4 linked regions of the Arabidopsis thaliana genome follow. The protein of the gene in region 2 interacts with the protein of the main gene of each other region in a pairwise test. Each region holds a gene or a part of one and is shown on either strand. Other genes may lie near its edges. The genes, in order: AT2G29210, AT4G25920, GSTU2 and AT5G08650.

What was found.
Region 1: the proteins of AT4G25920 (region 2) and AT2G29210 interact in a two-hybrid assay, tested with the Arabidopsis thaliana proteins (one large-scale study listed by BioGRID).
Region 3: the proteins of AT4G25920 (region 2) and GSTU2 interact in a two-hybrid assay, tested with the Arabidopsis thaliana proteins (one large-scale study listed by BioGRID).
Region 4: the proteins of AT4G25920 (region 2) and AT5G08650 interact in a two-hybrid assay, tested with the Arabidopsis thaliana proteins (one large-scale study listed by BioGRID).

What each region holds. Positions count from the first base shown.
Region 1 is NC_003071.7:12,556,438-12,562,904, reverse strand, and holds AT2G29210 (splicing factor PWI domain-containing protein), read right to left. Parts: upstream 4,927-6,467; 5' UTR 4,750-4,926; coding exon 4,729-4,749; intron 4,610-4,728; coding exon 4,520-4,609; intron 4,358-4,519; coding exon 4,235-4,357; intron 4,081-4,234; coding exon 3,913-4,080; intron 3,825-3,912; coding exon 3,750-3,824; intron 3,614-3,749; coding exon 3,501-3,613; intron 3,182-3,500; coding exon 3,134-3,181; intron 3,056-3,133; coding exon 2,999-3,055; intron 2,863-2,998; coding exon 1,600-2,862; intron 1,509-1,599; coding exon 1,386-1,508; intron 1,293-1,385; coding exon 737-1,292; 3' UTR 538-736; downstream 1-537. Other genes in the region: AT2G29220 (Concanavalin A-like lectin protein kinase family protein), read left to right, coding at 1-124.
Region 2 is NC_003075.7:13,163,777-13,167,392, forward strand, and holds AT4G25920 (hypothetical protein (DUF295)), read left to right. Parts: upstream 1-1,698; coding exon 1,699-1,755; intron 1,756-1,837; coding exon 1,838-2,592; intron 2,593-2,704; coding exon 2,705-3,065; 3' UTR 3,066-3,096; downstream 3,097-3,616. Other genes in the region: NFU3 (NFU domain protein 3), read left to right, coding at 352-453, 539-656, 732-1,030, 1,127-1,318.
Region 3 is NC_003071.7:12,629,667-12,633,226, forward strand, and holds GSTU2 (glutathione S-transferase tau 2), read right to left. Parts: upstream 1,656-3,560; 5' UTR 1,567-1,655; coding exon 1,246-1,566; coding exon of another isoform or gene 1,241-1,245; intron 1,073-1,240; coding exon 716-1,072; 3' UTR 532-715; downstream 1-531. Other genes in the region: AT2G29485 (uncharacterized protein), read left to right, coding at 924-1,065, 1,241-1,308; GSTU1 (glutathione S-transferase TAU 1), read right to left, coding at 1,927-2,280, 2,374-2,694. UniProt on the Arabidopsis thaliana protein: May be involved in the conjugation of reduced glutathione to a wide number of exogenous and endogenous hydrophobic electrophiles and have a detoxification role against certain herbicides.
Region 4 is NC_003076.8:2,807,587-2,815,366, forward strand, and holds the start of AT5G08650 (Small GTP-binding protein), read right to left. Parts: upstream 6,017-7,780; 5' UTR 5,635-6,016; coding exon 5,395-5,634; intron 5,299-5,394; coding exon 5,122-5,298; intron 5,024-5,121; coding exon 4,937-5,023; intron 4,738-4,936; coding exon 4,681-4,737; intron 4,521-4,680; coding exon 4,455-4,520; intron 4,019-4,454; coding exon 3,956-4,018; intron 3,602-3,955; coding exon 3,557-3,601; intron 3,454-3,556; coding exon 3,353-3,453; intron 3,091-3,352; coding exon 2,994-3,090; intron 2,752-2,993; coding exon 2,680-2,751; intron 2,209-2,679; coding exon 2,054-2,208; intron 1,971-2,053; coding exon 1,913-1,970; intron 1,629-1,912; coding exon 1,548-1,628; intron 1,319-1,547; coding exon 1,232-1,318; intron 1,113-1,231; coding exon 1,041-1,112; intron 951-1,040; coding exon 816-950; intron 706-815; coding exon 632-705; intron 247-631; coding exon 159-246; intron 1-158. Other genes in the region: AT5G08660 (D-lactate dehydrogenase (DUF668)), read left to right, coding at 6,940-7,248, 7,392-7,705. UniProt on the Arabidopsis thaliana protein: Promotes chloroplast protein synthesis. May act as a fidelity factor of the translation reaction, by catalyzing a one-codon backward translocation of tRNAs on improperly translocated ribosomes.

The sequences.
Region 1 (6,467 bases), on a different chromosome or scaffold from region 2:
GAAAACAGGACTTCTCTGCGCCAACCGATCTCCAGAATCAAGGCCAATGATGAAAAATGTGTTTCGGTATCTCGAAGGAACTGAAGCTCTCCCTCATGATGACTACCTCTTCTATGGAGTCTAAAAAGTGATCTCACAAACGTGTCTGTATTTTGAATTGTGTGATTTCAAGATTGGACGAAGATGCATTAAGCATGATGATGTGAATAAAGCCTATAATTGTATTTTACTCCATTTGTAAATTTGAAAATAAGAATTTCTGGTTTTGAGAAATATTTTCTTGTTGTTAGGACAATCTGATCCTACTCTTCTGGGAAAATGATCATTACAAAATATATCTTTGATCTATTTAAAATCTAAATGATATTTTGTTATGTCAGTTTAGGATACATAGCTACGAAACTTATATCATGACTTCATCATATACAGGAATATTTTCCATGAAAACATCTCTTGGGTTTTTTTTGTTAGCTTATATTAACCTAAATGGTTTTTTAAAGCTTATGTTAACATAAAGGGACCACCCAATGCAAGAAACAATTTTGCTATCATAATTGTCACTTGTCCAATTTTGCTATCATAATTGTCACTTGTCCAATTTTGCTGCCACCAACAAACAGACCACATAAGAAAGTTTGGAACATGTAAGAAAAAACACAACATAAGATGATGTTCATAAATCTAGCAAGGGATAGTATCATAAAAGATGATGTTCAAATAACGCTGGACAAGGGACTTAGTGGCTAATGCCCTTCTTTGCTTTCAATGACTCGAGTGCTTTGTTTCGCAACTCAATTTCAAGCCTCTTTGGATCAGATTCCTCCCCTTTTTTAATCTTAGGACGGGCCTCAACTTCACCTTCTGAAGTATCAGAAAGCTCTTGTTTCTTATGCTTCTCCTTTCCACCACGACGTTCTTCCCTTTTACGATGTCTCTCCTCTCGCCTACGTTTCTTCTCCTCCTTTCTCGTTTTCTTCTCCTCCTTCCTCCTCCTTTTAGCCTCCTTCCTATCATCTACGTCGGAATCAGAACTGCCATTATCATCTGAAGATACTTCTTCCCTTGAAGACCTTTTATTCTTTCTTCTATTTTTATCCTTAATTTGATGTCTGATGGTATCCTTAGAATCACAGGAAAGGTTTGCATCCAGGTCGCTGTTATCCTCTTTCTCAACCTGCTCACTGTCTTTCACTTTACTAGAAACAGGCCGACTCCTTCCTTCTGAATTTTCTACTGGGGACATCTGTGAACCATGGTGTCTGTGAACAGATCGCTTCTCTGACAACTTATCACTGTTAAGAAGTTGAATAGACCAACATTTATCAGACCTTGATATTTGAAGTCAAACGAAAATCATTTGGAAAATGAAAAGAAACAAAATGCACCTCTTTCTCTCCTGCTCCTTATAATGTTCTACACGCCCAACTTCTAGCAACTTCTCTGGTAATTGTTTCCTCTTGTCAGTATCAGGCACTGAAGTTCTCTTTAACAGCTTGGAATTTTGAACCCTGTCACAATGCGAAAGCAGACAGAGGGTCAAGGAGTTAACAAGTACAGATAAGAAGAAGATTATAGTAAATGGAGTCATGAAGACCATACCTATCTTGTTCTTCAGATAGACGCCCAGGAGATCTTCTCTCTCTCTGATGTTTTCTTCCACGTGGAGAAGGAGATCTATGAAGAACAGGAGGTGATCGCGACCTAGAAGGAGATCTGCTCGAAGATGGAGACCGTCTCCTGCGTCTATCAGGTGATCGTGAAGCAGATGAAGATCTTCGACTTCGCCGGTTGACAGGTGTTGGTGATCTGCGCCGAACAGGAGAGCGCGCTTTCTGATGTCGAGATGAAGGAGAAGATTTACCTCGACCCCTAACAGGTGACATAGATCCATCTTGCTTGATATGTGAAGGGGAAGTATGGCGTCCACCTTGTGACAGGGAGACTCGCTCTTCGTCAGGTGTCAGTGACCTGCGTCTTCTAACAGGTGGAGATGGTAACACTTTTTTCCTACCAGGAGGGGACAATGAGCTGGGTGATGGTGATTCCAGGTGATTGGCTGCATGAGATCCTCCAATCCTCATTGGTGAAGGTAATCCTGCACGCCTAGGGGGTGGTGAAGGCAACCTTTGCGCAGGGGGTGGTGAAGGTAATCCTGCACGCCTAGGGGGTGGTGAAGGCAACCTTTGTGCAACGGGTGGTGAAGGCAATCTTTGCTCAATGGATGGTGAAGGCAATCTTGCCCCAGTGGGATCCCTGAGCCTAGCCACTGGTGACGGAGACCTCCCTGGTGAGTCAGACCTTCCCCGCTTAGCCAGCGGTGACCGTGACCTGTTACGCCTATAGAGTGGAGATGGAGACCTGTTACGCCTGTAGAGTGGAGATGGAGACCTACGCCGCCTAGCTGGCGGTGAAGGAGACCTACGCCGCCTAGCTGGCGGTGAAGGAGACCTACGCCGCCTAGCTGGCGGTGGAGAACGGTGACGCCTAGCAGGGGGCGATGGTGACCTGCGCTGCCTTGCAGGTGGTGTTGGAGACCTGTGCCGTCTAGCAGGTGGTGATGGTGACCTGCGCCGTCTAGCAGGTGGGGATGGTGACCTGCGCCGTCTAGCAGGTGGGGATGGAGAACGGCGACGTCTTGAAGGGGCTGGTGATTGACGGCGTCCCTCATGCGTAGGTCGCCTGTGACGTCTAATAGGTGACCGCGACCTGCTTCTGAAAGGAGAGTGTATCCTACGTCGCCGAGGAGACAGAGACCTACGCACGGAACGTGATCTGGATCTACGTCTTGAATTCGACAATCTTCGCTTTCTAGGTGAGATGGAGGCATCTGATGATTGAGATGTGCTCCTGGATTTCCGTTCGCTGTTATAAAAGTAGACAGCATTAGCAAAAACTGCACTAGGATTTACAGAAAATAATAGATACAGAACTAGCTAGCTACACATCACAGGCTACAATTTCTTTGGATTAAGAAAAACAATTGCAGAAGGCTACATACCCAGAATAACTTTTCGAGCCTGAATTTGTTTTGCTGATTGACCTAGAACGTGACCCTCTGTAAAGCAACCAATCAATATATACTTGCACATATAAGCAAATTGTATTAGAAAAAACAAAACTATTGAAGAGTCACCTAAGGGGTGAGCGGGATGCATCTCCGCGACGTGGAGGTATCAGATCCCTGCATCAAGTGGAGGCAATGTCAGAACCCACTTACATAATAATCTTGGCCACAAACAAATTCCTGGACCACCAGCAAACCAAATGCACATGCAAAGTACCAGTAGCATACCTAAAAATGCTAAAAGACTAGAAGACCCAGAACAGTCATTTATAGAAATACTTGAACAACTCATGCCCACGAGTTCTTATAGAGAAAATCAACGTACAAAGTTATGAGTAGACTAGAAGGATGAACTCAATCAATAATAAAGTACACAAGGGAATACAGCGATGAGTAGAGAGTAGCTATGAAATCATAGGCATTAAGAGAACTCTACCTTCTCCTTTCTTTTACACCATTCTTCTCGTCAGCCCTTCTCCCATCCTCTGGACGATCTCTTGAAGGTTTTGCATCCATGCCATTTGTCTCCTTATGTTCTACACCGCTGTCCTACAGTAGTTGAGGTAAAGCACATGAACCCTAATAATTGCAGAAGCTATCTGAATAACATGAAAGAACAGGCGAATGTTAAAACCAGAAGAGCATCTCTAAAGCTGAAACTCTAGCATGAATAAGAACGTCTTACTATTTTCCTCAATATATCGTGCTCAATGTTCTTCTTATCTCCCTCCCTCTTCTTCATTATTTCATTTGCTTCTTCCTGCCACATAAAGGATAATAATCATGAAACAGTAGGACAGAGACAAGTCGTTCACCAAACTAACTTCAGAATGAGTTCCCAAGAATACCTGTTTCTTCTTTGTTTCAGCAGCTCTAGCATCTAAAAACTGCTGTGGAACACCACTTGGATTATTCTGTGCGCTTAGAAGAAGTGTCCAAAGTTCTTTCATAAATTTGCCAGTATTTTTCTCCATGAATCCAGTTAGCGTTATCTGAATCTCCTTACCATTCACTACCTACATACATAGTGAACGTTCAATTACATATTAGTCCAACAAAAAAAAATCACTTGTATCAATGGCATGGGCTACGAAATCATACTACCCCTCTGTCACTTATTAACAGTCGAATAAAAAGCTCAGAAAAATAAAATCTCAGTAATGAGCTTACCTTCCCGTCAAGCAGACCATAGATAAAGTTAATCAGCACTTCATCTTCAATACCAAGAAGCTCAGTGACTCTAGTCGCAATCCAAGGTTTCATAACATCCATCTTCACTTTAGTGATATCCACCTAACACCAAGGCAAGTAGAAGACATCATTAAGCCCTCCCCAAACTTAATTTCATAGTAACATATGTATCGAATTATCTGGTAATCGAATCTCAATTAAGTAAATTCAAGCTACGAATTCACAAATCGTTAAAATGGACGAGTACACAAAGAGAAAACTCACCAGATTCTCTAACTCCGGAGCAAATTTCTGGCTTTTCATCAATTTAGCTTGCTTGTTAGAAAACCGAGTATCCTGCTCGGCGGAAGTACCCTAAAAGCTCAAAACAAAGAAGTTATTAAACCATGGGAACTTCAACAAAACTTTTGAATTGCATCGATCTGGATCTAAAAGATGAGAGATCAATTGAGAAAATTGATCGGAAAACTAACCCGGAAGAAACCGCCGGACATAGTTTAGGGTTTGTGGAAGCACTAGCTCGTCTCTAGAAGAAAGATCGAAGCTTGAGAGAGATTTGTGAGATTTAGATGTGAAAATGGGGCTTCCACAGAGATTTTGAAGAGTTTTTAACGAGCCCTAGCTATATCGGACTCACTTCATTTTGTTTTTCCATTGTTACCCTCAGAGGTTTTGAGAATTACGTTATTGCCATTTATTGGAACATGTTCGGTCTCATCTTCTTGACAAGCCTTTTTTGTAATCTGATTGGTTTCAATTGCCATAGCTTATGGGCCAGTTTTAGCCCAAAGCAAACCTAGTCTTAATTAATCTCGTAGGTCTATTTGAATGAGTAAAACATTTTATCTTATTGGTACATATGCAATTTTGGAAGTGGTTTTTTTCTTCTAAAACGAACAGTGTGGTCACGGAAATTTATGTGCATTGTGTGGACTGATTAAGCAATTGAAAATGGTTTTAGGTTAAGTAGGGTTGGTAGATGAAGTTAATAAGAGAGAGAGAAGATGAAACTTGAAAGTGTTTGAGGTTTAAGAGATAAATGTGGAAAAGGAATGGAAAAGTTACATGTGGTGGTAATCTTGAAAGTGAAATAGATTAGAGTAATCAATGTGAACCTTATGGGACGTGAAAGGAAGATGACTATGATTATAAGTTTTGGGGTGTGCATTACTCGGTAAAAATATGGGTTGGTGCAACAAAATGAAGGAGTTAGGTTTGGTCAACTCGTCCTACTACATTAGAGTAACTTATGTTTCTTAAACCATAGGTGAAAGTGTGGGTGGAAACTATATAACAGTTGTTTGATCGTAATTTGTGTGGACAACAAGTGCGCATGGAAGGTGTATGGGCACACAATATAAGGTAGGTATGAGAATTGAGAACATATAAGTATGCAAATGGAAAAATGAGAGCAATGACTATAGTTATCTCTAATATTGTATTAGACTAGATTTTAACCCGCAGTACACCGCGGAAACAATTTATTTTTTTAATTAATATATATAAAAGTTTGTAAATTTTATCTATCTATAAAATATTTTTATTGTATAGTTTACAATTGTTATTAAATAACGTCCTGCCAAACTCGTCCCGCCAACCCGTCCTCTAAAAAAAACTCATTTATTTTATTAATGTTGATTTTATTTATGATATGTTTATGAATTATTGTCTAAATATTTTGTAATTTTGTAGTAATTAAATGCTATCAAATATCTCTACGGTTTGATGATTATAATCATGCAGAAAAGCAATATCAAAAATGATAATTTTGTAGTAATTAAATGATATTAAATATTTTAGAAGTTTTATTTTAGTAATTAATCGTGTAGTTAAGGTTGAGAGATTTTGGGAAGATTGTTAAATGTCAAATATTTAATTAGAAGATTTTCTTTCTAATTATCAAAAACAATTATTAAATGCCAGTGGCAGCCGTTGTAAATAAATCCCAACTCCAGTATTTATTTCACAAAGTAGCAGCAAAAATGTATATATAGATGAGCTCATAACTCTGTGTTTCAGTTTCATATATGAGGGCATGTCATGCAAAAGATAATAACATATTTTCTTTTGTCATCACCATCATCGAAATTATGGACTTTGACGTATTTGTATGATATATAAAGCAAAATTTATGTCAGTAAAGAAAAAAATCAACTTGGAAGACTTTTTAAGATTCGTTATTTAATTTATTTTTTCTTTCCAATTACAAACA
Region 2 (3,616 bases):
ATTCTCGTTTTTGGGTCTATCTATATTTGGGCTGGGCTTTATAAGAGGCGAAGCCCATGTCGAACAATCAATTTTTTTTTAATTTTATATTTCTTTTGGGAGTCTGTTCTGTCGTATTGATTAATAAAGTAAAAAATCTTAGCCACAAAATTAAATCATCTCCAAGACGTATCAATATCATCATCAATCCACCAATGAAAAGTTCTCTCTTTTTTTTTCCCACTCTTACTCTGTTCTCGCTACAGAATCTCCTGGGAAAAAAAAAAAAGAAACTTGATCCACCCGAATTCCCCAAATCTTCACAATTTCTGGAAACTCTCTCGATCGTGAAGCAGAAAAGTGAGGTTCCAAATGGGTTCTGTTTCGGGTCAAACCCGAATTACAACGATGAACCTCTCGCTCTCAACAGCAGAGAAGAACCCTAATTTCCGCTCGTCGCTTCTCAATTCTAAGGTAATTGTTATCACTTCGTCGAGCTTCACCAAAAAAATGACTCCTTTTGCTTGATTTCTTCTTCTCCTCTTTCGCTTGTGTTTAGAACGCAATTTCAGATACTTTAGGGGTCTCTTCCAAATGCAGTACATTCCTCAGGGGTCAATTTCAAAGAATACATTTTTCTTGGCTACAACACACTCGACCTTTGAGAAAACGAACAGGTACTTGATTTGCAAACCAGACCAATCTCTTTAGAACTTTAGTTGTGATTTAGATTCTTGTTATGTTTGGTTTAGTATTTGGTCACGTGAGCTGCGTCATGCCGTTAACGGAAGAGAATGTGGAGAGAGTGTTAGACGAAGTACGACCATCTCTAATGGCCGACGGAGGAAACGTGGCGTTGCACGAAATCGACGGACTTGTGGTGGTTTTAAAGCTACAAGGAGCTTGTGGTTCGTGTCCTAGCTCATCAATGACGTTGAAGATGGGAATCGAGAGTCGTCTTCGAGACAAGATTCCAGAGATCATGTCCGTTGAGCAGTTTCTTGAATCCGAGACAGGAGGTTTAGAGCTGAACGATGAGAACATTGAGAAGGTTTGGTTTTTTAAAGGTTTAGTTATTTTTGGTTTATTAGCCCCTTGGTTTTGAAATTGATCTGAATGGTCCTTTTTTGGTTTGTTGTCAATTTAGGTTCTCTCTGAGTTAAGGCCGTACCTATCCGGTACTGGAGGTGGGGGGCTTGAGTTAGTTGAGATTGATGGTTACGTGGTCAAGGTTCGACTCACTGGACCAGCTGCTGGAGTCATGACTGTTCGTGTCGCGTTGACTCAAAAACTGAGGGAAACAATTCCTTCTATAGGTGCAGTCCAGCTTCTAGAGTGACATTAACCTTTTTATTTTGTAACTTATATACAAGGCCTATTTTTGATTCAATATATTTTATTTCCAATTATATAATTAGTACAACTAATACAATAACCATTTCTGTTGAAGAAAAAGGAAAAGAAAAAAAAAGTATCCTATGTATGAAGGACATTTTCTCTAGTGATCCTTGTTTTTAGGTAACAGTTATAAAATATTCATGACTTGACTACACAAAGATAATCGAACTTAAAGAGTTATTTCCTTAAACCAATTATTCTCTAATTAAATATGCATTTATAGCGAGTTCTTGGTGAGCAAGGATACTAGAATCTCTATAATAAGTCGGACATAAGAAGATATGAGGAAACACAGACATAACATAGTTAAGAGTTTCAACAATGTCAAAGCTTATAATCAACCGAATATTCAAACCCTCTGTCTGCAAAAATTTCCTCGTACGTAAGCTTCTCTTGCTTTTTCTTTTTAACTTTAATTTTGTTCTTGTTGTCTCTGAATACTTGAACATAACTATGGCAGAGACACGCAAACGTTCGTCTGTTCTCATCTGCAACTCACACGAGTACTAAAGTGAATCAGCCCTTCTCGTCTAAACCAGCCTTCCCGTTTCTGTTGATTGACTACATCCTAAACAACCCAAACTCTTCCTCCGATGGTCGCGTAACAACAAACGTTTACGGTAATGAAAAGGAAGTCTTGATTAAGGACAAGGATCTTAAGGAGGAGGTCTGTGATGCGATGACTGTCGGGTTTTCTCGTGATGGGTTGCGAGTCGAGCTTTGTGGCAACCACGGCGATGTATGTTCTCCCACCATCTTTTACAAGCCTACTGACCCCGAAATAGAAGACTTGACCGTTGATCTACCTCCTCTACCGACGGGTTCACAAATCCAAAGCCTGGTCATGTCCTCTTTACCTAAACGAGACAAAAATTGGGTAGTTGTTGTCAAGTTATTGGGATCTCAGTTGAGTATGTGCAGGCCTTTTGGCAGCCGTAAATGGATCAACATCCAAACCAAGCCTCAGAATATAAACCCTTCATCGAGCATCATGTTTTCCAAGAAAGAGAAAAAGTTCTACGTTCCAACTCCCGGAGGCAACATCTTGTGCTATTTGGATCCTCACTCAGAGGACGACGACCTAATTGATTTCGTGGAATTGGAGTTTGACGATCTTCCAAAATCGGTGTTTCAAGAGTTGGCCGACGTGAGTACATGTTCTAGGACAGACCACCTTGTGGAGTCACCCACCGGCCAACTTTTCCTAGTCAAGTGGTATACTATCTAATTAAAGCTATATATAGCTTTTGTCTTCATAACATATATACCAAAATCTCTAATCCTTTGCTTGAGTATCATATTGGCGCGCTTTATCATGTCTTTGCAGGTATGGAGAGGATTTAGAGGACATTGACAACACCACACTGTATAATGTAACAAAAAAGTTCATGGTGTTTAAAGAGGGAGAGAAACCGAGTTGTGTCTACACTAAGAAGATGATCTATACAGAAGACATTGGAGATCTTTGCATTTTTGTTGGACATAGTGAGGCTTTCTGCGTCCCGGCTAGCTCGTCCCCTGGCCTCAAGCCTAACTGCATCTATTTTGTGGGCTATAACTTTGGTGTTTATGATCTCACCACCAAAACTTGCACTATGTTCCTCACAAAAGATGATAATCCATTAAGGAAATTGGAATTCCCTTACTGGCCTCCTCCGGCTTCCTTTCCAGTACTAGCTCCTAATTAATTATCTCTCTTGCACGTGTTTATGTTTCGCTAATGTTATCGCTGTCTTTGCTTTCCCATGATTTCATTTAAATCCAATGTTCTCTTTTAATCTATGTTCAATGAAATTTATATTAGTGCCTTAAAAGAAGGCGAATCTATCCTACCAAAAAAAAAAGAAGGCGAATCTAAACGAATTCGGTTAATTCATCATATTTCTCAATTAATATACGTAAGACACACTTTGGCACAAAACTTATATAATTATTTATTTCCTGAAACAAGTTATCCTCTAAATATGTATATTTAATGTCCTAAGGTGTAGTACCCTCGGTATTCACTAGACAGAGACGGGGAAGACGAAAGAGTCGCACGTCAAATCAAAATCACAACACATATTTTGAGTGTTGTTACATTATTTTGTGGTGGATCACTATGTGGAGTCACCCTCCGGTGAACAATTCCTCGTCAAGTGGTATATATACTATAGACATTGCTTTTGAATAAACAATTATACAAACTATTAGGTTAATTACTCAACATTTTAATTTGATTTAATGGCTCCTCACCAAA
Region 3 (3,560 bases), on a different chromosome or scaffold from region 2:
TTACAAGTTCAATGTATGTACATCATTCATGTGTATCATCCAAGAACATCTAGAAGGTAGTTGTTCATCATTGCCGTCACTTTCAAATGTGTTCATCATTTATCCTCACGCCTAAACATTTCAGCATGTGTTCAAAATATTAAGAATCCTCAAAAGTCAATATTTATGTCTAACTTTGACCATCTCTCTTTTTTTTTTTTTTGATAAATATTCTTTGAACATGTCTTTCATCTTTCACTTCCGATGTATTAGTTTTGGAGAGATATGTTAAATATTTGTTATTTCATTTCTTGAAGAAATTGAGTTACCAATGCTAATACAAAATTGGATAGACTAATAGAACCAGAATATCACTAAACTGAAATACTAACCAACAATACACAATAAACCAATACTAACCAACCATACGTTAATGTTCTTAACTTCTTATCAAACATCATGTAATCAATACCACACATCATGAAACAAATTAACTCATCATCCTATCGAACTTAGATTTACCATCTTTGCAATTTATTTTCCCTAAACCATAAATCAATATTTGTTATTATAGTTATAATAGGTAGCTTTCAACATTTCACTTTGCACCCATTAATTGATTTCCACTACCAATGCAGCTACATTCATTCTTTGTTTCAAATTTTTCAATAACAAAACGATACAAGCTGCACATAGTCATTATTTTAGAACACAGAGTTATGAAGTTATCATTAATTTAGAACGTAGACTTAGCTCTCTCTATAATTTTCTTCATACGCTCAATATGTTTCTCTTTTGGAGGTATACATTCCCTCACGATCTCAACTTCATTCAAGTTCTTGATCCATCTGTTTAATTCTGGAAACGTATCCTCTGGAGTCATATCAATCCCCAAACATTCCCAAGCCCGAGCAAGACAAAACGGGATCATACTTCCCGCAACCATGTCCAAGAATCCGATCGTCTTGCCACCAAAGAAATCTTTTCCAGTGACTTCCTTCTCAAGAAACATAAGCATTTCTCGAATCTCCTCAATAGCAACATCTATTCCCTTCTCTGCTTTTACTAGGGGCATGAAGCCAACTGGTAGGATCTGCAAGTTATTATACCAATCTATAAAAAAAAGTACTTAGAAAATTACTTTATCCTACAAATAATCCTGATATAAATGCTTGAAATGTAATGAACTTCTAATAACTCTCAAGTGTTTCTCATTTATTTTGCAATCAATATTATAAATCAATTTAATTAGTTAGACTAGAGTACCTGCTCATCAACGAACTTGGCCCAGAACCGAACCATGGCCTTCTCGTAGGGATCGTGAGGTAGAATTGGATTGTTATTCCAAGTTTGGTCGATGTATTCGAGGATCACATGTGACTCGGATAATAATTTATCATTGTGAACAAGAACCGGAACCTTCTTGTGAACCGGATTTAGTTCAAGAAGTAAAGTGCTCTTTTTGGGTAAGTCTTCTTCCAAGTACTCGTATGGTACGCCTTTAAGTTTGAGAGCCATCTCGACTCTACGACTAAAAGGGCTTATCCAAAACCCTAGAAGCTTCACACTCTCTTCTTTCTTCGCCATTAGATCTCTCTCTCTGACTCTCTCTGTCACTTTAAAAACAATATTGTGCTTTTTTTTGTAGTCTCAACTCTCAAGCTTATCTTGAAGATAAAAAAAAAAAAAAAGACATCAGTAAGGTAACCAAGTCACTGCTGAGGTCACTTTGGTTATTTTATTCTTATTTCCTTCTAGTCTTGGCTTTTACAATCTCCAGACACACCACGTTATTTGATTGCTGTAACTTTCAAATAGGTTTTTGATCTTTTTACTTAAATATTAGGTCATTCTATTTTTCGAAAAACTTTAAAAAATAAAAATATAAATAAAAAACGATGCAAGCATATAAATCAAATATTTTCGTAGGCAAGAAGTATCTTTAATTTAGGCAGACTTAATTGTCTCTGCAATTTTGGTCATGCGCTCAATTTGTTTCTCTCTTGGAGGAATACATCCCCTCACTGCCTCAACTTCTTCCAAATTCTTGATCCATCTATTTAATTCCGGAAACTTCTCCTCTGGAATCATATCAATTCCAATACCTTTCCAAAGTCTAGCTAGACAAAATGGGATCATACTTCCTGCGATCATGTCCAAGAATCCGATTGTCTTGCCACCGAAGAAATCTTTTCCAGTGACTTCTTTCTCAAGAAACATAAGCAGTTCCCGAGTCTCTTCAATAGCAACCTCTCTTCCTTTCTCTGCTTTTACAAGGGACCTAAACCCTAGTGTTAGGATCTGCAAGTAAAGAACAATATATAAACAAGCGAATAATATAATATTGTTCTGCATAGAATCAACTAATTAATCTGCAAATCAATATTAGTATACCTGGTCATCGATGAACTTGGCCCAAAATCGAGCCATGGCCTTCTCGTAAGGATCTTGAGGAAGAATTGGACTGTTCTTCCACGTCTGATCGATGTATTCGAGAATCAGATGTGACTCGAGTAATATTTTGTCATTGTGGACAAGAACCGGAACTTTCTTGTGAAGCGGGTTTAGCTCCAGAAGCAAAGGGGTCTTGTTGGGCAAATCTTCTTCCAAGTATTCGTATGGCACGCCTTTGAGTTTGAGAGCCATCTCGACTCGACGACTAAAAGGGCTTGCCCAAAACCCTAGAAGCTTCACACTCTCTTCTTTCTCCGCCATTCGATATCTCTCACTTTTTGGTATCTAACTCCTCTGTTTCTTGCACTACTTTTCTTTTTTATGTTTCGTTTACTTGCTTGATTACTTGAGTTTACTATATTCTATACACAAATGAAGTTATGGGTGGTGAAATAAACAAATAAATAAAAGGACCATTTTGCTTTCTCTTTGTCTTTGTATCCAAGGATATCTTGAAGATCACACCAGAAAAGGACTGATTTATATTTTAAGGTATGCACGTCATTGCCAACGTCATTCGTCTTAGTGTTTTAAGATATTTGACCAACACTTAGTGTTTCTAATCTCCAGTCAATTAGCCGACCAAGAAATAACAAATCTCCAAATGATTACGTTCTACAATTTATATTTTAAGATTCATATGTTGAAAAGTTTAAAACTGAGAGATTAATGTATCGACTGTATTTGTAAAACACACAACTTTTTTTGTTTTGAAGAGTCTATTTTTTGGCCAATTCATTGTCTGCCAAACATTTGAAATGAATGACATTGTAAAACAGAAGAAATATTCAGTTATCAAACAAAATGTTAATCATTTTGAAAGAAATGATGTAATAATCTAAATCAAAATATAACATTTATATAATGTGAACCTTTTCAGTTTTTGGGTTTGATTCCGTCTTGATTCACGGTATCGGTTGATTTGGTTTAGTTAAACCGAAATCGAACTCTAAGCGAAATCATCTCGTCGGTTAAACTTCTTTTGAATTTAGACAAAGGTTAATAATTATTATTTATTCCATACTTCATTAGGATCAAATGTATCCGATACATCATAATTCATAGCTCAATCGGAGATTATTATAATTTAGATAGAGTACTCACACACTCAAGTAAAACATGAACCA
Region 4 (7,780 bases), on a different chromosome or scaffold from region 2:
AGCGCCTCGTGTTTCCATCAATCTACTTATCCAAACTTTTTGGGCAAGTGAAATTGTATCAATGAGATTGCTGAACCAAATTTTTGTATTCAGGTGTAAGAGTGCGTATGTATGCTGTATTCATAAAAGTTCATATTAAAGAGCTTAAGCAAAATAACCTTATCCCTGTGTACGATGGTTGACAAAGGTTCCACCATTTCAGCATTAATCAGAATATCGAGTTTTATCAGATCACTTTCCCTGTACCTGCTCACATATTACAAGACAAAAAAAAAAAGTTGAATACCTTAAGATGGTAAGAAAGACATCAAAAAGAGCAAAAGAAACATATTATGTATTAAGCTTAAATGGAAACTGACGAAGCTGAGTAGTTAACTTGTATAAAGAAGGGCTACCAAATTTAACGATAGAGAGCAACACGATAATTAACCTGATTGAAATTGATCTGATGCTGCTAAGCAAATATATATATTTTAGATACTTGTTTATCACTTTGGGATTACTATGAAAAGAATATAGATTCTTATCTTCACAAAAAAGCTGACGCATTTCTTTGTTAATCAACAAAAATAGAAGGCAAGCATCACAAAGTAAGAGAAAGATCTGTGTATTAAAAGTTGAAAGATCTAACCCAATAACGGAGTATTCCATGCTAGCATATCCCTTGGTTCTCGACTTCAATTGGTCAAAGAAATCACCCACCATCTGCAAAATGGCAGGGAGCGATTAACAAGAAGATCAGTTTACATAATCAAGAGAGACATGGCTAAACTTTCATTGGGGTTATCTTAACTCTGCACAAGCAGAGATCTCACCTCTGCAAGAGGTAACTCATAGAGGATTGAAGCTCTGTTCTCAGCTATATATTTCATTTCTTTGAACTCCCCTCTCCTCTCTTGAGCGAGCTCCATAAGCGCACCAATATAGTCTTTTGGTGTGAGCAGTTCAATCTGTATAAAATGGTTTTGCAGTAAGGAAATGTAATTCTACGAAATGTGGTGTGTGAACTTATCAGCAATATCTCCAGTAGAAAAGGCAACCTTAACGTATGGCTCCTCGACCGATTTCCTTTGCCCAGGATCTGGAAGGCGTGATGGATTTGAGCACAAAGTCTGCAGTAAAATTGATTTCACAGGTAATAAGGCTCTAGATCAAGAAAGAAAGACAAAAGGATGCGATTTTCAGGGAACAAAGAAGAATATTTAAAAGTTTGGGATCAAGAGGAAATTACAGTATCACCATTTACAGAGTTCACCCTATAAACAACACTTGGAGCTGTGGTAATAAGATTTAAGTTGTACTCCCTCTCTAGCCTTTCCTGTGAAGAAGAGTGAACTGGAGCGTAAGAACAAAGAATGATATAATTCACTTTGTTGAGTATAATTTATGGCGGGTATCTATCGGGGAGGAAACTGTAAATAAGTAAAATACTAACAGATAACTCAGTATCTATGAATTTCTTTTCTCTATCTTCTGTTGCATAGGAAATTTTCAGTCAGAGACGCACCAAAAACACTTTAGAACAAGAAGAGCGAAACATATCTGACCTGCACAATTTCCATGTGGAGAAGACCCAAAAACCCGCATCTAAAGCCAAATCCCATGGCACTCGAAGTTTCAGGCTCAAACTGCAGGATAAAAACCAAGTTGAGGACAAACCTATAGATATGTTAATGCTAACGTATACGCTCCTTAGACCAAATGTGAATATTTTTAACAAAGATACATACAATAGAGGACTGAAGACCAGTTCTTTGCAAAACACAATTTTACTTTCCAATTCGAAGCCAACTGGGCATAAACATACATTGGCTAAGTAAGCATACGAAGACCATAGTTGTTTCGTCCGTGCAAATTATTCTGGGTACAGATGAAAGAAAAATGTTGTTTCTGTCATTTAATTCTACTATACCTTCAATGCAGCATCATTGAGTTGCAGTTTTTCCAATGCATCGCGAAGATCGGGAAACCTGCCATCATAGACCAGGTGTGAAAAAAAAAAATACAAAATGAAAAAGCAAAAAGTCAACAATGAAAAACAAAAACTCAGTACTGGTCAGCGTCAACTGGAAAAAGACCACAGAACACCATAGGGGTAGCTTCCTCGTAACCAGGTAAAGAGCTTTCTGCCTTTCTGCTATAATGTGTTATTGTATCTCCTACCCTGGCATCTGCAACAGATCTTACAGAAGCCGCAATATATCCTACCTGTATTTAAGGACAGTAACCTTTAAAATATGTGCAAGAAATGTGGCATGATATTCAGGCATATCTGATATACACCAGCAGCATCAATCAGTGCTAAAAACATCTTTCTAGCTATTAGAACTTGAGCAAGGGAAGATGCAACTAACCATTTCTTCTCAAATATAGCCAAACAAGAAAAGTGAAAACATATTTGTTTCATTGCATTCAAATTGTTATTAACCACAACTCTATCTTCTGCCAAAGCTGCTACAAGGAAATGCTAAGAAAATCCTTCCATTTACAAACGCTTTTAGTTTTCCTATTAACATGTGTTGGAATAGAACGGCGGAAACTGCAAAAGAATACTGACATTTTCATTTCATAATACCAAGGTTTCTGCTGAAAGAAAAAAATTCAACAAGAAAATGGGACATGGATGCACAGGAAAGTAAACAAAACAAACAAAATATTATGTTCAAAAGAGTACACTACCTCACCCGCATATAATTCATCCACTTGAATTTGATTTGGAGATAGAACTCCGACTTCATCCGCAAAATAATCCTGCAATTGATGCAAAACTGAGAACATGAAGGATACTAGTGAAACACAAGTAAGCGTTCTTAAAAGCTTAAACATTCTCAAATTTTTCCTGAAAGAATTATAGAATAACACTTCACATCGCTTTATTCAAATAGACCGCGAAAACCTATCTCATGCACAAATTACATTCAATTCATTATTGGCAAATGGAAAGCTATCTCGATTAAATAGAAAGACAGTACAGTAGAGTAAAAGAGATAAACCTTTCCGCTTGCCATGAAAAAAATTCTGTCGCCTTTCTTCACTTTCCCATCGATAACTCGAAAGTATACAATGACACCACGATATGGATCATAATAACTGCAGCAAAATGAATTTTGGACGAAAAATATAAAGTAGTTCACATATAAAAACTGCACACTTGTAGACTAATCAAGCAAAACAAACACGAGTATTTCACACTCATTTTTAGTTCACCAGTGATTAACTGGTACTGACTTGACATGCCAATGATCAGTCCAATCATTATATACGAATACAACTTCGACTCCAAGACTCAATTTCATACTGTTTTCTCTAGAAAAGGCAAAAATCGTTATGAATAAAAACAACAAGTGCAAACCTGTCAAAAATTAAAGCTCTTAAGGGCTTTCCTGCAGTATCGAGAGGTGCAGGTATCCTTTGAACAATTGCATCCAAAATCTCGGTAATACCAATTCCCTCCTGCGTGTATATATTATTCCCCAAAAATTGTAATTGAATGGATAGAAAGCCACACGTCTTAATTTTTGGGTAGCAGAATAGCAAAACAATTTTAAAATCTAACCTTTGCCGAACAGAATATCGCTTTGCTACAATCTAACCCAATAACCTACAAACAATATGAATTATCAATCAGTGTTCACATAAAGGCTGATGTCTCTGAAATTGCAGCAATGAGACAATTACCCCATTCGAGGAACATGAGACTGGATCATAATATCACAAAGAAAATGTTTAAAGCATAAAAGAATGTACCGCAATAATCAACATAATATCTAATACTAGAAGCTAGAACCTTGTAAAATGTCAAGATAACATATTGACAACAGAAAAATAAAAGACTGAAGAGTTTTTGCAGACACCCAAAAAGGAATACTGTTCAAATTATTACTGGTTGCATTGTATGATTGCTATTGAATACGAACATCATAAAATGGGTAACACAATGAACATAATCACCAACCTCCTCAATCTCCCTGAGAACTTTCTCTGGCTCAGCGCCTGGAAGGTCAATCTTATTTAAAACCTGCAGGAAGAAGTAGAGTTCATTTGCTTTAAACTCTGGTATGCAGACCAAATATTTGAAAGAAGAATAAACCACCTTACATTATTATTTCCTGTATAGTCATGAATCAGGTTGAAGCAATAATGAAACGTTAAATGATATAATCATTTTATCCTAGACTAGCTATTCTTTTCTTTACTACGCATCTTCTATGTACTGCCAGAGTGATACTACCTATTTTTTTTAACATATTTGCCTTGTTTGAAAGTTAACTTATTGCAGACTCCGACTTCTTTTAAATAAAACGACATTGACATTTTTAAATAATCTTCCATGGAGATGAGACGAAGGAAAGAATGATGATAACTACCACATATAGTTGAAATGTGATTTGTTAAAAGGAATGATGATAACTAGCACATATAGCTAATAAGATGAAGCATAATTCCGTACTTACGGGAATAATTTCGAGGTTGTTTTCCAAGGCCAAATACACATTAGCCAATGTTTGTGCTTCCACACCCTAAAGCACATGATAGAGGAAGTTTAAGTTTTTCAGTAATGTAAGTATGTAACCATCAGAAAAGAACGAAATTACCAAGCGAAAAAACGGCATAAACAATACAGATTCCAGGTTTCCACAGCGTGTCAGAAAATTGTATGTCAAGAGAAAGAAAAATCACCTGGGATGCATCCACAACAAGAAGAGCACCCTCGCAAGCAGCAAGAGATCGGGAAACCTATGTACAAATAAACAGTGCATTCTTCATCAAAACTGCAACTTAATAGTTTGTGTATATTCCTAACTGTAAAAAAAATTACGCTTTTAGGTGATATATAACACTCAAACCAAGTAACTTCTCACATATGAAAAATAACTATAAGGCTAAGCTTCAAATGTATCCGTAGACAATAAGTAGATTAGAATATTGTAAGTACCTCGTAAGAGAAATCAACATGACCTGGAGTATCTATCAAGTTGAGGCAAAACGGTGTATCTTCATAAACATAACGCATTCGAGCTGCCTACACAAACATACACCGCAAAGTTACAAATCAGACCGTTGAGCAATCTTATCGAAACTGATTTTTGATTGTGCAGAGAAAGCGATTGAAAGAAAAACCTGAAGCTTGATAGTGATGCCTCGTTCTCTCTCTAAGTCCATGTTATCAAGAAACTGCTCCTTCATATCTCTGTTCTGAACAGTACCAGTCACCTGAAGCAACTTATCCGCTAACGTAGATTTCCCATGATCAATATGAGCTATAATACTAAAATTCCTGATGTTCGAAATTGGAACCTGCGAATTTCATAACAAATTCAGTTTCAAAAAAAATCCAAATTCTTCTCAAGTTTCGGCACACGGATGAAGAGAGAGAACAAAACAGAACCCGACCTTCAAAAGACGGTCTTGACCAGAACGGGCGGCTAATTTGGAGCCAGAGACAGAGAGACCGCTCTGAGGCTCAGTTCCAGCTGTGGCTTGGCAAAGTATCTGTAACTTCCGATTAGAGTGACGGCGGAATCCAGAGACGGAAATGGAGGAGAGACGACGGAGAGATGGGGAAGATGTAGAAGTTCCGGATAAGAAAAACGTTGGAGGAGAAGATAAGTCCATAGCAGAAGCCATGGCCATGGCACTGTCTAAGCTCTCTACACCTCTCTCTACTGTTTTGAGAGAAATTCAAAGTATCCTGAGCCACAGACTATGTAACTGGGCCACTGTATCCAATTGGGCCTGTCCATCGGATTCTAACCCACCCGACCCGATTCGATCCAAATCTGTTTTCTTAAAATAACGAATTTGTTTTGTGTGAATTAAACCGAAATTAGACCACAAATTTAATGAAACTGAACAAGATCAAATAAATTGATTTTAAATCAGATAATTCTAAACCCAAAAATATTCGAAGTAGAACATCAAATGTCAAAAAACATAGAAATAAGCTTTTTGTTCAATATTGTTGTGCTATGATTTGATTCGATGAACCAGAAATCATGCATTTTGAGAATATAAGACTCTTTTTTATTCAATGATGAGTTGATTAGTGTTTAATCATTTCTTATATAAGATCTTCACATGCCTTTTAAGACTAATTTAATCCCTATGAAAAGTCCTAACCTTTTAGCGCAATTTCGGTTTAGAAGTAAGAGGAGTGAGGGATTGAAAGTAAAGATGAGTTTTTTACTTGCACGGAATGTAAAAAGACAGAGCACAAAATGAGTCAATGGCGTGGTAATAAGGGACGATTTGACCAATCCATCACCGCCTGTGACTCTTTTTATTAACATGGAGTGTGAGGAGATTAAAAGAAAAAAGGTTTAGACTTTTCTTCGTTTGTTTCTTTATCAAGCTGGTTGTTTCAATTTGGCTTTAGCTGATGCCAATTTGGTGTGGTCCAATCTCTCTTTTAATTTTTGTTTTTCTGATTTCTTCCTTCGTTCCTAGTTCATACTACTCTCCTTGACTTTCTCCTTTTTAACATCAATTCTCTCGTGTTCGAGGTTCCTTTGTCTCTTTTGTCTTTTCACTGTTGTGTGTCGTGAATCCCAAGCTCTATACCTCCGAAATTGGCTTGGCCCAAGTCTTTTCTGGTCTTTTTCTCTACTGGGTAAGTCTTCTTCTTCGCATTCCTCTCCTCAAAATACGATCTTGCTTAGGTTTTTTGGAGAAAGAAGACTTGCACAGTGTTTGACTTAAAGGCTTTTACTTCGTGAACGGCTTTGGCTTTATGTGAATCTGTTAATTTCCCCCAAGGCGATTACAATGTCTTAAACTATTTCGGACACGATCCTATCTCTGTGTTACTAATTTAGTTTGGAAGATTTGGTCTCCTTGAGTCTCTTGATCTGACTTTTTCCTTTGTTCTAGGTTATTACTCTTCCCCACAGTGGCATGATCTTTTCGATAACTTAGCTTAAAGGTCTTTGGAAAAGAGTTATGGGGAGTTTTTGCTCCAAGAGCCTTGGAATCAATTTTGGCAGCGAGTATTCTGGTTCTAGTGTGGCTGATGATGGTCGAGAACCTGATTTTGGCCACTCACAACCAAATGGGCAAACCAGTTTGATTGTTCCTGGTATGAGGCAGCTTATGGTTAAAGACGTCAAGGAACAAAATCAATTAAAAGATGTTTTCTCTTTCCGCGAAAGGGAAGCTGAAGATAATTTCTATGATGGAATTCCGACGTATACTATGGCTCCATCACAGAAAATTCGGTCTGCAAAATCAACTCAAACCGCTGTTTCAAAGGTTAGTATGGACCAAATGAAGCTCCTTTTTTAGCAACTAAGATTAAGAGTTAAAGCATTGTCTCTTAGTAACGGCAAGTGTCTTTTAAGTTTAGAAGTCCTGAAATGTCGTGAGACCAATCCGAATTTGCTATACTGTGGCAGGTTACAGAGGCAAGTAAGCTTTTAGGCAAAGCGGGGTTAGGTAGAGCAAAAGATGTTTTGGATACCCTTGGAAGTAGCATGACAGATCTTAGTAGCGGTGGATTTACTTCTGGAGTTGCAACTAAAGGCAATGAACTTGGGATCTTAGCTTTTGAAGTAGCAAACACAATTGTCAAAAGCTCAAATCTCATTGAATCCCTTTCTAAGAGGAACATCGAGCATTTAAAAGGAACTATCCTTTATTCTGAGGGTGTTCAAAACCTAGTCTCGAATGATTTCGATGAACTACTCAGACTTGTTGCAGCTGATAAGAGGTGAAAATTTTAGTCTAGACGGCTTCTTTTGTTTTTTCCTAGCTTTTTTAAAACATGGCAAGATAGTTAACTTGA